2 linked regions of the Struthio camelus genome follow. The protein of the gene in region 2 purifies or fractionates together with the protein of the main gene of each other region. This does not show direct contact. Links are inferred from orthologs where the notes say so. Each region holds a gene or a part of one and is shown on either strand. Other genes may lie near its edges.

The links.
Region 1: the proteins of NEK2 (region 2) and ANAPC4 purify together in Homo sapiens (affinity purification with mass spectrometry; 6 studies listed by BioGRID and IntAct, with this or other methods). This does not show direct contact. The link is inferred for Struthio camelus from reciprocal best matches to the Homo sapiens genes NEK2 and ANAPC4.

The regions. Positions count from the first base shown.
Region 1 is NC_090945.1:67,042,986-67,050,643, forward strand, and holds the start of ANAPC4 (anaphase-promoting complex subunit 4), read right to left. Parts: upstream 3,251-7,658; 5' UTR 3,154-3,250; coding exon 3,046-3,153; intron 2,400-3,045; coding exon 2,294-2,399; exon of another isoform or gene 2,275-2,293; intron 1,164-2,274; coding exon 1,031-1,163; intron 1-1,030. Other genes in the region: rRNA N6-adenosine-methyltransferase ZCCHC4, read right to left, coding at 4,044-4,179, 5,470-5,614, 6,032-6,083, 6,627-6,702, 7,380-7,501. UniProt on the Homo sapiens protein: Component of the anaphase promoting complex/cyclosome (APC/C), a cell cycle-regulated E3 ubiquitin ligase that controls progression through mitosis and the G1 phase of the cell cycle.
Region 2 is NC_090944.1:113,862,343-113,869,504, reverse strand, and holds the start of NEK2 (serine/threonine-protein kinase Nek2), read left to right. Parts: upstream 1-3,992; 5' UTR 3,993-6,054; coding exon 6,055-6,231; intron 6,232-6,395; exon of another isoform or gene 6,396-6,447; coding exon 6,448-6,665; intron 6,666-7,162. UniProt on the Homo sapiens protein: Protein kinase which is involved in the control of centrosome separation and bipolar spindle formation in mitotic cells and chromatin condensation in meiotic cells.

The sequences.
Region 1 (7,658 bases), on a different chromosome or scaffold from region 2:
AGCTTTTATTTGCTGGCTCAGTAGCTCGACACCAACTCCTCCATAAATTATCTGAAATGTACATATGACAATGGGTCTCTGTTTAAACTCAACCCCACCCCCACTGCACCTGCGCCTCAAACAAACTTCAATTTAAAGATACATGTCACAGTATGAGGAAGACTAAAGCACAGTACTTAACACCACAGCTTAGACATGCTGGAAGGATGAGATTCCCTATAAGGAGACAAATCCATCCCCATGAAGAGAAAAATGCTAGACTGATTTAAGATGCATTTATTTTCTTACCACGTTTAGATTTGTACTTTAAGGAGGAGAGAATTCCCAAGTGAGGCCCCCTCCCTTTTTCTAATAAATTTTTAATTATGGTCTTGCACTGCAACGAGGTACATATCAGATGGTTTTGTGAGATCACAGAAACAGGGACCACAGTGCCCGCGAGCTCACAAGTGCTACTGAGAACTGCGTAATGACACACGCTCACAGTCACTAGGAGCGCTGTGACATCCTGAAGCAACTGTACCCATCATAGAACCGCCAATGGATTAGGATGTAAGAACAAAGGCAAAACGTGAAAGGAGCAAGCACCCTACCAAAGCACCGAAAACACTAATGAAGATTTAAATATAATGCTCTCCCCGATTAACAAAGCAGATGAATATAACAACATTATTACAATTAGTTTAATAAATTAACACATTAGTGGGTATCAAAGTAAACTGGATCAGGAGGCAGGCTGTACAACAATACATCAAGTTACCACTGGATTAAGCAAGCTCTTAACAGGTGGATGCTCAACGTCTTACTGAAATATTTCTGGCATAAACTAAAAGAACCACAAGACTAAGACTTCAGCACTACAAATAAGCACATTAAGAAGTATATTCTAATAAAAAGGGAAAATTTTAACAAAGTGGTGAGGAAAAAGACAGCATTCTTTTATTTAGCCACTTGTAACACACTAACTGTAAATTATTAGTAAGATAGTACTGCACAGCCTATGTTTATGTGCAGAGTTTTTCAGACCTACCTGCTTTCTTCGGTTACTTCCATCCAATGCATGTAAGTAATAGAAGAGTCCACTGCAAAGGAGTGTAAGCTTTCAGGTTTTTCTACATCACACAGAATAATCCGCTTGGTATCAGTTAGGCCAAAAGCCAAAACTAGAGAAGAAAACGTAAAATATATAAATAACCAACATGCAAAACTTTGTATTTTCTTTATGCGGGACTAGAAAACAGTGTTCCTTCAAAGCCTACTACTGGACATCTAGTTGTCTCCTTGTCTTTTATCTACTGTGCTTCCAAACTCTAACTTGAAACCTACTCACTGGCACTTCTAGCATACTAGCACTCCTAGGTTTGAACTCCTAGCATATTTTTAAGTAACATATTTAGGTCAAAAGTCTGATCCTACAATTATTTATCTGCATGCTGAACTGAAGTACACACTTCTAACTACAGGGCCTCAGTTTTTGCAAATTTAAGGCTGAAATACATTTAAAGACCATTCAACAGCAGTTTTGGTTTTATTATAACAAAGTAAAATTGTAGACTTGCTGAACAACATTTGCATCGCTACCTTTTTTACCTCTATTTATCTATAAAAACATACGGCAGGCATACGTTACTGCATCCACTTCCTTGTAATCACAGGCAACTAGCTTAAAAAAAAGTTTCTTAAATTCCAACGTAAAACTAAACAGGTAGTACTTGCTCATGTCTTATCAGAATATTGTTCCCATTCTCACTCTTCCAATGGGTCCAAAAAAAAATCAAACTACTTTCCAACATATACTTATTAAGCTACTAATTTCAATGTTATCTCCATCTGTAAGACATTACTGTCTTGACAGACCTTATTCTACCAAGGAAAGAGGTTTTTTTACCTTCTCTGGCATAATATTAGAGAGCAATTTTCACCTCTAAAATTTAGCCTTTGACTAAAGAAGCCAGGCTCTTCAGTCTGTCCTGATTTGTCTCTATTCTCCCAATGAATTTTGTAGTACACGTGAAAATATTCTGCTTAGTTATGAACTGGAAGCTTTGATATACCTTGGGAAGTAATATTATTGGACATAAATTCACTTTGCCAATCTTTCTTGCAATTGCCTTCAGCAGTGTATCCTTCCTTATAGCTTTGAATAAACCTACATAAAATTAAGCTACCCTTTTCTTCAAATACAGTTTACTTGAAAATTTCCTTCAGAGACAAGAGGTATCATCACCACAACTTGCACTGATTTCCAACAGGATTTTTATTGCAACATGTCACCTCATATACTTCACATTACTTTTGCCATCCGGTCTCCAAGCAAGTGCAGTCACTTCTTTTCCTGTATTTTCATTTGGAGGCAAACTCCAAACTCGTTGGAAGTTTGCAAGCCGATGAAGTAAAACCTGAAAAGCAAACACATGAAGGATTAAAAAAAAAAAAATTATTCCCCCGTTAATTGTAGCTTGTAAATCAAATCAAGATGAAAATTTTTACTTTTCTTTAATAAGTCCTACATCTCAAGTGGTGTCGTCTTCTCTAGCAGAGGAGTCACTCCTAGGTCATTTTACAGGACGCTGCTCGCAAGGCAGCAACAGAGAGACAAACTGTGCCCTCTACAGACCTAGAAGCCTGCAGCCAACACAGGTTCTCTCTCCTTCTCCAACACCACGTCTCCACCCCTGAACACAACCACCACTTCCAGGAAAAAAAACACTGCAAAACTGATGTAACTGAAAAAGGGGCCCTTTAAAACTGCACAGATGCAGGCACTGAGAGTCTCACTGCTGAACGCGCCTGGCAATTTGAACAAGGCAACGAATAACAAGCAATAAGCAGCTCGACGAACATTTTTTGTTATTGGTAATTCTTGCAAGCTTGGCCAAACGCTTATGTCACGGGTAAGGGAAGCAGCGCCTGCACACGACCACGCAAAGGCGGCAGCGCTTCCCCTCGCTGCTCAGGCCCTCCCGCCTGCCGCCGCGCAGGCCCCAGGCGGCCGCCCCGGCCCCGGCCCCGGCCCCGGCCCCGGCCCCGGCCGCCGCCGCTCACCTCCCCCGCCCTGTTGGCCAGGGCGATGAGGTCCCGCTTGGGAGACCAGGCCATGAAGACGACCTCCTGCGGCAGCTGCTTCTCCCCGACCTGCCGGAAGGCCGGCATGGCGGCGGGGCGCTGCCGGCCCCTTCCCCTCTCCTCTCCGAGCGCCCCGGCCCCGCCGCCCGCCGGCCGCCCGCCTGCCGCCCTCCGCTGCCGCCTTCCGGAGGCGGCGCTTGCCCGGCGGCCGGCGGGCGGGCAGCGCGGGCCGCCTCGGCGCTTCCTGCTCTGCCCCCGCCGGCCGCGGCAAGGCCGGCCCTTCCTGTCTCGTCTTCCGCTAGTGCCCGCGTATCCGCCGCAATCTGACGATGGGGGTTCGTTTTTAGCATAGCTCCCGTCGCTACTGCAGCAGCGCCGATCTCAAAAATATTAAAACTCATGATTTTTTAAATCCAAATCGTTAAACTACTTTAAAAATACCACGAAGCATACTTGCTTAGTAAGCAGAACAAAAAGACCTGCGCCTGAAGTACTTTCAGCGTCCTTCCTCAGGCTTCTCCCCCTGCAAGCATCTGGAGAGAAGAACTGGAAACCAGCACGGTACTCTGAGCAGAGGGGAACGAAGTGCGAGAAGGAGCCTTAAGAATTTGTGCCTTTCCATCACCCATCCTCGCTTACCCCCTTGCCCCAAATTCCCCCGTACCTCCCACAAAGCCACAGCATTCACTCACTACCTAGTAGCCAGTTTAGCCTTCCTGACCTCTCCCCGCTGCTCCCCTTTTGACTTCAGATTCCAGCTAAATCAGGCAATAGCTAATCCTTGCCACACGACATTGTCACACTAAGCAAATACATAGTAAGAGAGTGGTTTATATTGCATTTTTGTCAGTAATGATGTATAACATAAAAGGACTGTCGCTTTGAGTTCAATCAGGTTTTATTTTGAATATTAATATTAACACGGTCAGAATATGGAATCAAAGCAGGCTATAAAAAAAATTTTGGGTCACTTTGTATCAACAAGGAAGGCTGGGCCTCTTCTTCTTCTTCTTTATTCTTTTCCTGGCGAATATTGCATGTTTCACAGCTGATCTTTTACAGATCCCCATCTTTACCTTCTTTGGAGTCTTCTGCCTTTTCTTTTTGTCAGTTCTGTAAAGCAAGAAAGAAATGCGCAGATTAAAGCAGACAACATACACCTGCATTTGCTCGTGATATAAATAAGCTGTCCATATAAGCATATGGACTGAGAAGTACTGTCACAAAAAGTACAAGGGACATTCCATTTTACAGTAAATTTATGACGCAAGTGGATTGGTTTTGGTCTCTGACAAAGGACGTATTTCATGACACAAAACACTGTATAATTTTAAATATAAATAAAACATTTACAGATGTTTTACCTAGAAAAAGAAATCTAAGTAATTTTCTGGAATAAGAATAAATTAGCAAAGGAACTAACCGATGGCCTGAAAGGACTAAACCATCACAACACAAAATATGCCTAACTGAAGAAACAGATAAGGTTTCACTATTTTCTTATAACGTCCTTTTTACTTTTTTTAAATAAAGAACTGTTAAGGGAAGGATTTTTCAAAAGGAGAGTTGTAAATATCTTATCTATTCATCTATCTCATTACATTTTAGCTCTACTACTCTATAACCAGAACTCAGAGTAATGTCATAGCAGGACATGAAGCAATGCACCTGTAGACCAGTACCACCTAGCAAGTACCCAGTGAACCTCCTGAAGCTGATCCAATAGTTCTGAATCCCTCACTATGCAATAGAGATACGTCTTTTGGGAGTCAAAACTTACTTCTACTGCTCCATCCATTCAAGTTAAGAATTACAAACAAACCAATACGCTCTGGAGAGGAAGTTAGAAAAGTACTAATACAAATACTTAACATGTCCTTCATTAATAAGCTCTTACAGGTTGGAGATTTAGACCCTACCACAGAGAGCACCTGAGGTACCAGACGGAACAGTAAAAGACACTAAAATAAGCAAAACAGGAATCAAGAAAAAACAAAGTAGTGACTGCAGTCTCTGCCCTTTGGTGAGGAATTTGAAGGAGCTAAAAAAGTTTCATTACTTCAGATTAATTTTGAATCTTCTTGACAGAGGTATCTCCTATGCACCATTCACCAAGTGTTGAATCTAGACAAACCCTTACAGTTAAGGAATTAGGACACATAGTAAGTGACCTGCCTAAATCATGCTGCTTTTTATCGTATGCTCCTCCAGTTGACATATTTCACACAGAGCCTCTGCAACAATACAGCAAACAGATAACAGTGAAAGCTGGTATCAGCATACAAAGCCTAAAATTCTCTCTTCCTATAACCATTTTCATGAAGTAAGAATTACCTCCCATCTCTGAAAGCCATCTTTATAATGGCTTCATTAATATAATTATTAATGCAATATCAAACTTACTGGCAAGCTGTTTTAGTGAGGGAGAGCCTGGGACAGGAATTGCGCTTGTGACCTGCTTTGCCGCAAACGAAACAACCAGCTTCAGTCCTCTCACAAGCATGGTCTTGAAGAGCACAGCAATTGCAATTACTACAGTGAAACCAAGCTGTAAAATACGTAACAGGATTTATGAACTTGAAAAATGATCATTTTGAAACCAAGCTTTAAATAACTTTTAACACTTACCTATGTGTTTATAAAATTCCCATTAAACACCACAAATCAAAATAAGCAAGCTGTTCCGTAAGAAATATACGTGGAATTTACTACTGGCCTTGAATTTAGGTGGCCGTGACTTAACAGGAGTTTATCACATTTCCACATAGCGGAAACCTACCCAATCAAGTTATTTGCTGGCAATTCATATAAAACTGAGATTTTTTTCCCTTTATTCTCTGTCTTTTGAATGATTAAGCTTTATTTCTTCTATAGCATATTTTCTGATTTGTCATCTCAGTTTCTTTGGATGAGAGCTTAAACAGTAAGCATACTTTTCCTTAGAAGAGTATTTTTCTGCACTTACACGGTTTGACACATTTGTTGCAAAGAGCACAATGCTTCCATCGTCTACCATCCTATAAATAAGAGAATGAATAAATGCATTGTTTTTTCTTAAAAAAAATCCAAACAAATAAAAACATTGATTGTGTCTTAAAACTGAGCTCATGACATATGTTCCCATTTATTTTCAGAAACAGCATATACATTGTGGGCAGCGCGAAAACAAAAATCCTGAGAATCTGTGACAACCACAGCAGAACGGCTACATTTTGAAGTTAGCAAGTTCTTCAACTTCCCAAACATAAGAAGAAAGGTATATGTTAAAATAAAGTAAAAAAAAAAAAAAAATCCACACACAATGAATAAGGTATATCACAAGGGGCAAGTAACAAACTTTTACAGTCCTCCTCCTAACCCAGAGGTGTCAGGAAACAGGAATTAATTCCCAGGGAGTTGTGAACGATGTCCTATGAAGTTAATAAAAAGATGCCTGAATGGAACTGCTTAGGGTTTTCCAGTGAAATCAATACCAGAATAGCTTTTTACCAGGGCAAAAATTACAGAAGTTATACGACTACTGCTAAAATTGCCATCCAGAAAGAAGTCAAAGTACTTACTTTTGATGTACATGAATTGCATATCTCACAGTGCTGGTTACCAGAGCTAACATATCGCTGACAGATAGCACATAACCTGGAAAAAATGAAGTTACAAACATATTGGTCCAGGATTTGCTCAAGAAACTACACGAATGAGTTTTATATAAGCTCCACAGTAGAAGTAAGGATCGCAAAAATCACTTTGCTAAGTTTAAGATACTTTTTTTGAGTCATACAACAACCACTTCATACAACCAGAGCCTCATAATCATTTAAACACCTTAAGTACAAAACAGTAAAATTCAGGTGCTCAAATTCAAATTAGCAATATACGTTATCAGCAGCAAATCAAACAGGAAAAAAAAAGAAAAAAAAAAAAAGAGCTATTTGAGTTCCATCAGTAAAATTCCCCTGCCCCAAAACTTCTTTTAGTCTTTATGTTCTGAACTACTGTCTCAACCAAGCTGATTATCAGGGATAGCAGTAAATCTCTGTCTCCCACAGGCACGCACATTTCCTATGGGCTAGCTGAGGAATCTCTTCATTCCACACTAATTAATGTAAAACCCTTTTTTCAGGTGTCCAACTCTCCTATACCTTGTTTATAAAATACAGGAGCTTAGCCTGAGACAGCAGAAATTGCTATTGAGCCTAGCATTGAAAAGTTAGGCAATCTCAATACTGAACGTCACCATCCCAAAATCATGTTGAGCCTTTATGCCCCAATTAAAAACACACTCGCACATTCACTTGAGTGTAAAGACATCTTACCTATAACCCTCTTCGACAGGAAGTACAATCGTACTTGGGCTGATGTTGGTGAAGATACGAACAGGGGACTGTCTACGACCTGTCTTGCCATGTTTATAAAGTGCATGATTATCATAATCTACCTAGAAAATAAGAAAACAAAATTTCTACCTAGAAAGCAACCTTGAGTCTTAAATTCAATGCTAAGCATGGACACAACTTTTTCATATTTACTCTCTTTATAGATGTTTTATGAAATTCTCATTTTTTTTTATATAAAAGACTAACTCTTAGAGTACA
Region 2 (7,162 bases):
AATAGATATTTTTTTTATTTGGATACAAAACCACCCTGTGCTGCAGTGACCCTTTTGACTTATTTTTTCCTGTGCTTTGTCATAGGCCTAGGGTAAATAATGCTACTGAACAGGCAATCCCCAGGATGGTGATATCAGCCCTGAATAGAGATCTTTCATGCAGTAGGTCCTGCATGAACCTGGTCCCAGATATTTCCAGGTAACTTTTGATATTTTCTACATGGTTGCATTTACCATGGGTCAGGATAATCCTCTCAGCTAAAATTATGTGCCTTTTCCTGTAACCTATTTGATTCATCTTCCAAAAATTAGTTCATGTTATGCCTTTCTCCATTAGTCTAAAGAGCCTGTAAGTACCAGGTATTTTCTCCACATGAAAGCACTTACTCACTGTAATCACCTGACTACATTTCACCTGACCTGATTTCAGTTTGGTTTTAGAATAATAGATAACATCTTAAAAAAACAGGTAGCTCAGTAAGCAGAGGAGCTAATGAAGCTTGTTTTCCTTTGGATTTGTAGTGCATGGTTAGATTCTCTGGTGTCTAGAGTGCACACATTAGTCAAAGATTTTCCTGCAACTGCATCAACATTAATGTGAGTCCATCCATAAGGATAATAATAATCCATGTGGATTCTCTGCTCTAATAACATAGTTGAACTCTTTAGGATCTTCCTTCTCTATCTGCTCAGTTATATTTTTGGAACGTGTAGGAAGGTAATTATTTTTAGGAGTAAGTTAATGGGGGAGGGATGGAGGGCTAGTAGAAACATACTTGTGATATGGTCACTTAAGTTCCATTTCCATAGGGAGCTAGACAAAAAAATCAGTTCTATGTGAAATAAAAACTGTTTGTTAAGTTCTAGGCAACTGGCATGTTCTCAATGGAAAATACTATTCCAGACGGTCACATTTGGACTGTCTTGTTTTTAAATTCTTTTTTTGGTATCATCATTGGGAAACTGGCATACCAGGATCCCTGCTAAGGCAATTCGAGTTACAGGTGCACAGCAGCTCCAAAATTCAAGTCTTTCCTGTGTAAAATCAAGCAAACAGTTTCTTGTAATTTGAGTTTAGGGACACCAAGATAGGGGAAAATCTACTATTCTTATGGGTGGCATGTATCCATAGTCACGGCTGTTAGAGAATTAATGAGTGCTGTGGTAATGAAAATGCCTGTGACAATAACACTGTATGCAGATCTGGTGAAAGCTGTACCTCAATATATTTGAAGAGACTGTAAGTAAAAAAAAATTCATGGAATAATATTTGAGATAAACAATTCTACAAAAGAAATCCCTAAATTTTTGTTTGTTTGTTTTTTGTTTTTAAACTGGACAGTTGAGGCCAGCAATATATTTATCTATTGTATTGTCTAATGCATCCTTTAGTCAAATATTTTGAGGTGTACTACCTATAAGCTTCACCGTGGAGGGTAAGTACATTACTTCCCCTTTAAAAGAGGGATAATTGAGGCACAGAGACCGAACTGTCTGTTTTCATGGACTGAGTTATAAGACAGCCCAGAAGGGAAATCACAAATTGTTATACTACATTTCTTACTTAGGGACAACAGCAGTTCTTTAGCTGTTGGTGAATTTAGGATTTAAGATTACTCAGGAATTTGACTTTTGAAGTTCTTTACACCTCAAAAAATGAGTATCTTAATCAGTTTAAAAAGCACCCTTAAAGATCAATTCAAACACCTTCTGTTCATAAGGTAAATAATATTCATTTTAAAAATTAGCAAATAAGTGAAGACATATATAGTAGATAGGGCTGTTAGTTTCACTCTAAGATAGAGAACTAAGTAATGACACACTTTCAAAATATTCAGCCAGGTATTTAAATATTCAGTTATAGAATACAAGCAATGGGTAGAGCAAATCTGGATTCAGTAAAATTTGTATGTTCCCCTCTCTGAATGCAAAAGTATGTCTTCTTTACTCTCCTCGGTCTCCTCCTCATTAATTCCCATGCAGTTAGCTCTTCTTTCAGTACTTGCAAAAACTTCCACTGCTGCCGCATTTGTTTTCACTCATGTGTTTTTTATTTTCCTAATTTTTCTAGTTTGTATTGGAAAACCATAAAGGTACAGCTGCTGCAACAAACTCCCCTTTTGAAGCTTGCCTGCTGCACGCATTTCTTTTGGAGTCTGAGATAGCTCTGAGTCCTAACACTTAAAAAAAAAAAAAAAAGAAAAGTATAGTATTTTTAATCACTATAATTACTGCTTCTGAATTTTGTTCCTTAGCTGTCCTGTCCACAGCTGTGTTGTGCAGAATTTCTTCAATGAACATGTTCTTGTTTCCTCCCAAACCAGCTCAGGAAAAATACTAGGAAATTTGACTCTCTGATACTTTTTTTCTGACATTTAATAACATGCCATGGATAAGTCCCTCGGCATTTTAGACTGTTCTTCTCATCTTTCATATGTGAGTGCGTTCAATGTGGATGTCTGGCCCAGATATCAAAATCAATATTCCTTCTGATTATATCTCAAATTTTCTGATTCTAGATACTGTAAACTGCAGTATCCCACAAACCCAGAGAACATTAGTCAAGAGTTTGGAAAGAAGTCTTGCATTCTGGAATTCAGGCCTAAAAGAAACAAAGTGACTGTTCTGAACTTTGTTTCACCAGATTAATTTATTCTACAATACAAGGTTTTTGTTTGTTTGTTTTTTAAATCCACAACCACCATGCTTCATTAATCTCTGCTTAACTAATGATCTGTTTAAATTCAGAAAGTTTGCCACACTGGGGATGTGTCTGAAGGAGGAGAGTACCGCTGTCTAATATCCCAGTATTTGTGTGTGTTTGTTAATCCTGAGACGTGAATTTTTACAACAAAGTCATCAACTAGAAAAACAGAGTTAAAGATGTTATGTCATCTATGTACAATGAACCTGGGTAAATGCAAGATTTCTGTGCACAAGAGCAAAAGAAAAAATGTAAGAAAAAAACAGAATATCCATAACTACGTGTCAGGACTTCAAATCCAATTTAATATTAAAAAAACAAAATACTCACGTGGAGAAGATGAACTAAAATAAAACACTGATGTCTCAATCATCCCAATATTTATAATTTCTCTTCTTGTCACTCAAAGGACTTATTAAGATCTTTCAGGTACTCAATTCCTCCTTTTTGGCTGGAAGACTCGGCACCTTTCTGAGGTCCAGAAACATGATTTTACATGTCTATCACCTCTTTGAAGAGACAAGACAGGATTTTCCTCAGATATTTTTCTAGTTATTTTTATAAAGTGTATTATTGTTCACTATAATCCTCTATGTTTACTTTCAGTACTTCCTACTGAGCTTCTTTTCTCTTCCTGAACATGTACTTCTAGGTAATTTTTTTTGCTTCATTACCAGAAAAGTTCTCAGAAACGTAGTTTAATTTGCTATAGTATTTTAAAAAACTAGGCTGCTATTAAATATTATCTATATAGATATACTTGGCTGGACTCCCACAGCAAAGTGTTAGGCATTTATTGTTAGTTATTTCCATGCACAAAAATTAAAATATTTATAAGAAATAGTGCATTGATCTTACTATTTATCTTCAGCATTTAATATTTTATCAAATAACTATGACCTGGAATAAGAGAAAAGGAACCTTATGGCACAAAAACTGACAAACTTTGGCAGAAAGTAACAGAAGAATCTTAGGTTTTTGTTAAGTTTTGGAAAATGATTAATGAAATTTGATGAGAAAAAGCAGAATCAAACATTAGAAACAACACTAAAAATGGATTATTGAGAACTATTTGGCAGCTTTCAAAGACCTGAAGTCAGCACGTGCACTTTCAAGACTAGAAACTTGAGTTGCTTCTAGACTAGACATCAGAGATTAAAAATACAGCATGTGACAAGAGAGGCCTCCATTTAAACTTCAAATATATACTTGGAAACATTGGACTCTTTGGGTTCTCTCATATGACCAGGGTGGAAATCAGACAGAAGGAAAGAAAACAGGGTACCTCCTGAAATTTTTATTGATTGCTTTTAGAAAAAGAATTTTTCTCAAATTACCCAACTCTTAAAATAAAACAAGTGTAATCAGAACTAAAATTACTATGCTGCTGGTCTTTGGAGCATGACATTTTGACATTTCTCTGATTCAAACTTACATTCCTAAAGAAAACTTCAAGATAGCCCCTAGAGCAAACACAGTATTCAAAACCTACTCTATTTCTTTTGAAATACAAATAGAAAGACTCCCTTTCATAACAGTGGGAACGTGTCATGACCTTTTGCTTGAAAGTACAGAAGTTTGAAACTGAGACATATCTGAAATCAGAAATGAAGCTTACAGCCTGCCTAATAATACAGTATTTTTTGTTATTCTTATTGCATAATGTCATATTTTATTTATGATGCTAATGATGAGGATCTTCTTCTTAAGGTAATTAAAATCAGACTTAAAATGAGTCATTCAGAGCACCCTGTTACTCATTAACAAAGTTAAAATGTTTTTACACTGTATAATTCATTTGCTCATTTTTTCTGTAATGAACAAACATTATCTGTGAATAGAAAGCTATAGGATCTTTATAATGGATAACAGGAGCTTTTGTGCCTCTTGCTGGTGAAAGTAATGGCTTAGATTTTTCTGAAGGCTAATAATATAAGAATATTTTATAAATATTCAGTAACACCATGACCCCCTAAGCCCCTCAAACCCTTTTGAAACAAAATGGGGAAATGATTAATGGGACCATGTGTAGATGCGATATGAGATATTACTCTGTCCTCCGGCCATGTTCTGAAAATCTCTCACGTTGCTGAAAGCTTGAGAACAACTCCCTTTTGTGCCTGATCCAGAAATTATACTGGTGAGTTATAATACTCTGCTGAAGAACTAGGAGTCGCTGCCTCAAGCACAGGCACGTCCACAAGGAGAGGGATTAAGCAGAACTGAAACCAGAACTCCGCTCCAGTATCACTCCAAAATTACCCTAAATAATGCTAGAAAATACATTACATACCTTTAAAAATATCCCCATAATGTTATCTAATATATTAAAACTACTGACTCATCTTTTGGAATCGGAGGCCTATATTCCCGTTTTAAAAGGATTACATTGTAAGTTATTGATTTATTAGGCTTCTTTTCTAAAGCTATCTGTATACAGTATAATAGTAAAGCTGGTATGACTTTTGAAAATAATTTTATTGAAGAATTTCTTGAAGAATCATGAAGAATTTTCCTCATTGGTTTAAAGGAATGTTTCAGAAACAAATTTTTATTATTTTAAGCACTTTCAGTTTGCTAATGCTTGTTAATATTAAGAAAACCCTCCATTAAGCTCTTCCAATTTTCTGACCAGCATCTGCTCAACAGCTACATTTATTTTAGAAAAGGGGAGAACAGTAATTTATTGTTTTTCCTGGAAGACTGTCTCTTTTCCTGGCTCGCTACGAATATCTTTGTTGTTGTTGTTGTTGTTTTAACCGCTACACCCGTTATGTTTATGGCTTATCCGAGCGCCCCACGCGTTGATCGCTTCCTGTTCCAGCAGCCCCCTGTGCCGGCACTGGGGGGCGAGAGGAAGGCCAGGCGCCGTCCCCATCCAGCCGGGGGGGGGGGGGGGGCGCTGGGCCTTCGCCGGAGAGGCTCGCCAGCGCTTACCACCCATTTGAGCCGAAGGGTTTGCCCAGCGGCAGCGGCCGGGATTGCTTCCGTCGGACTACCTCCGCGAGAGGAAGTTACCGAGCGAGGGGGAGCTCCGGCGGCCGCCGCGTCCCTCAGCGGGCCTGACGGGAAGCGCGGATACCCGCGGCGCGCCTCGCTCTCCGAAGCCTACCGGGAGAGGGCCCTCCCGTCCCCCCGGCCCGGCAGAGCACCGCCGCTGCCGCCCCCCGGGAGGGTGGTTGGGGGGGGGGGGGGGGGAAGGGAGAGCGGCGGGCAGGCGGCAGCTCTCGCGATGGCTCCCTGACGCCGCGGTGCGGCCGTTGTAACGGCCGTTACCTGGCGGGCGTTGTTTACGGCGGGGCAGCCAATGGGAAGGCGGGTCGCGTGGGCGGGGCTGGGAGGCCCGGCCAATGGGCGGGAGGGGCGGCGCGTTTAAACGCGGCAGGTGCCGAGGCCCGGCTCGGCTCGGCGGGGGCCGCGTCTGCGCCGTCATGCCCAGCCGCCCCGAGGACTACGAGGTGCTGCTCACCATCGGCGCCGGCTCCTACGGCAAGTGCCGCAAGGTGCGCCGCAAGGCTGACGGCAAGGTGAGGCGGGGGGGGGGGGGGCAAGGGTGAGGGGCTGTGCCGCTCCTCGCATCGCGCCTCGCCCTGGCGGGCCGGTGGTGCTGCGCATGCGCGGCCTCCCGGCGGCTCTTCGGCGTAAGCGAGCGGCTTTAACAGTCCTCCCCCTGCTCTGTTTCGTGTGTCAGTCTCTTTGAATTTCCCCCCTTCCTTCTTCCCTTCCTTCCCCCCCCCCCCAAGGTCTTAGTTTGGAAGGAGCTCGACTACGGCTCCATGACAGAGGCAGAGAAGCAGATGCTTGTTTCGGAAGTGAATTTGCTCCGTGAGCTGAAGCACCCGAACATCGTCCGCTATTACGATCGCATCATCGACCGGAGCAGCACGACCCTGTACATCGTGATGGAGTACTGTGACGGGGGTGACCTGGCCAGCCTCATCGCACGGTGCACGAAGGAAAGGTACGTGAGAGCCCGCTGTGACAGCCCTAGAGTCTCTAGCGCAAAGTATCTCGGGTGATGAAAAGAACAAGCCCGAAAGGGGGGGGTTGCATCCCTTAATAGCCCCCTAACATGTTCAAATCTAATCTCTTGAATGTAGCAACTTTTCTGAAATGTGAAGGGGTTGTACAAAATAGCTATGCTGGTGGGAACTGTGCTGGAGGATGCCACTAGTGATAGGATTGCTCTTTCTCTGTATCCAAAGAGTAAAGAACATTGACCCTTTCTGAGGCAGAAGGTGGTGAAGGGATTTGGGGTACTGTGCTGTGCATGACTGGGAGAACTTTAAACAGTGAGTCACACCTTATTGATCAGGAGCTTAGTCTGAGTTCTTTTAGTTTGCCAGTGAAAAATGCTTATACACTTTTCTAGACTGACATCACTAAAAGTTCCTGTAAGGAAAAAGCAATTTTGAACATGCTGTTAGAAACTCCCATGCCTGCGTGTAGACCCTTTAC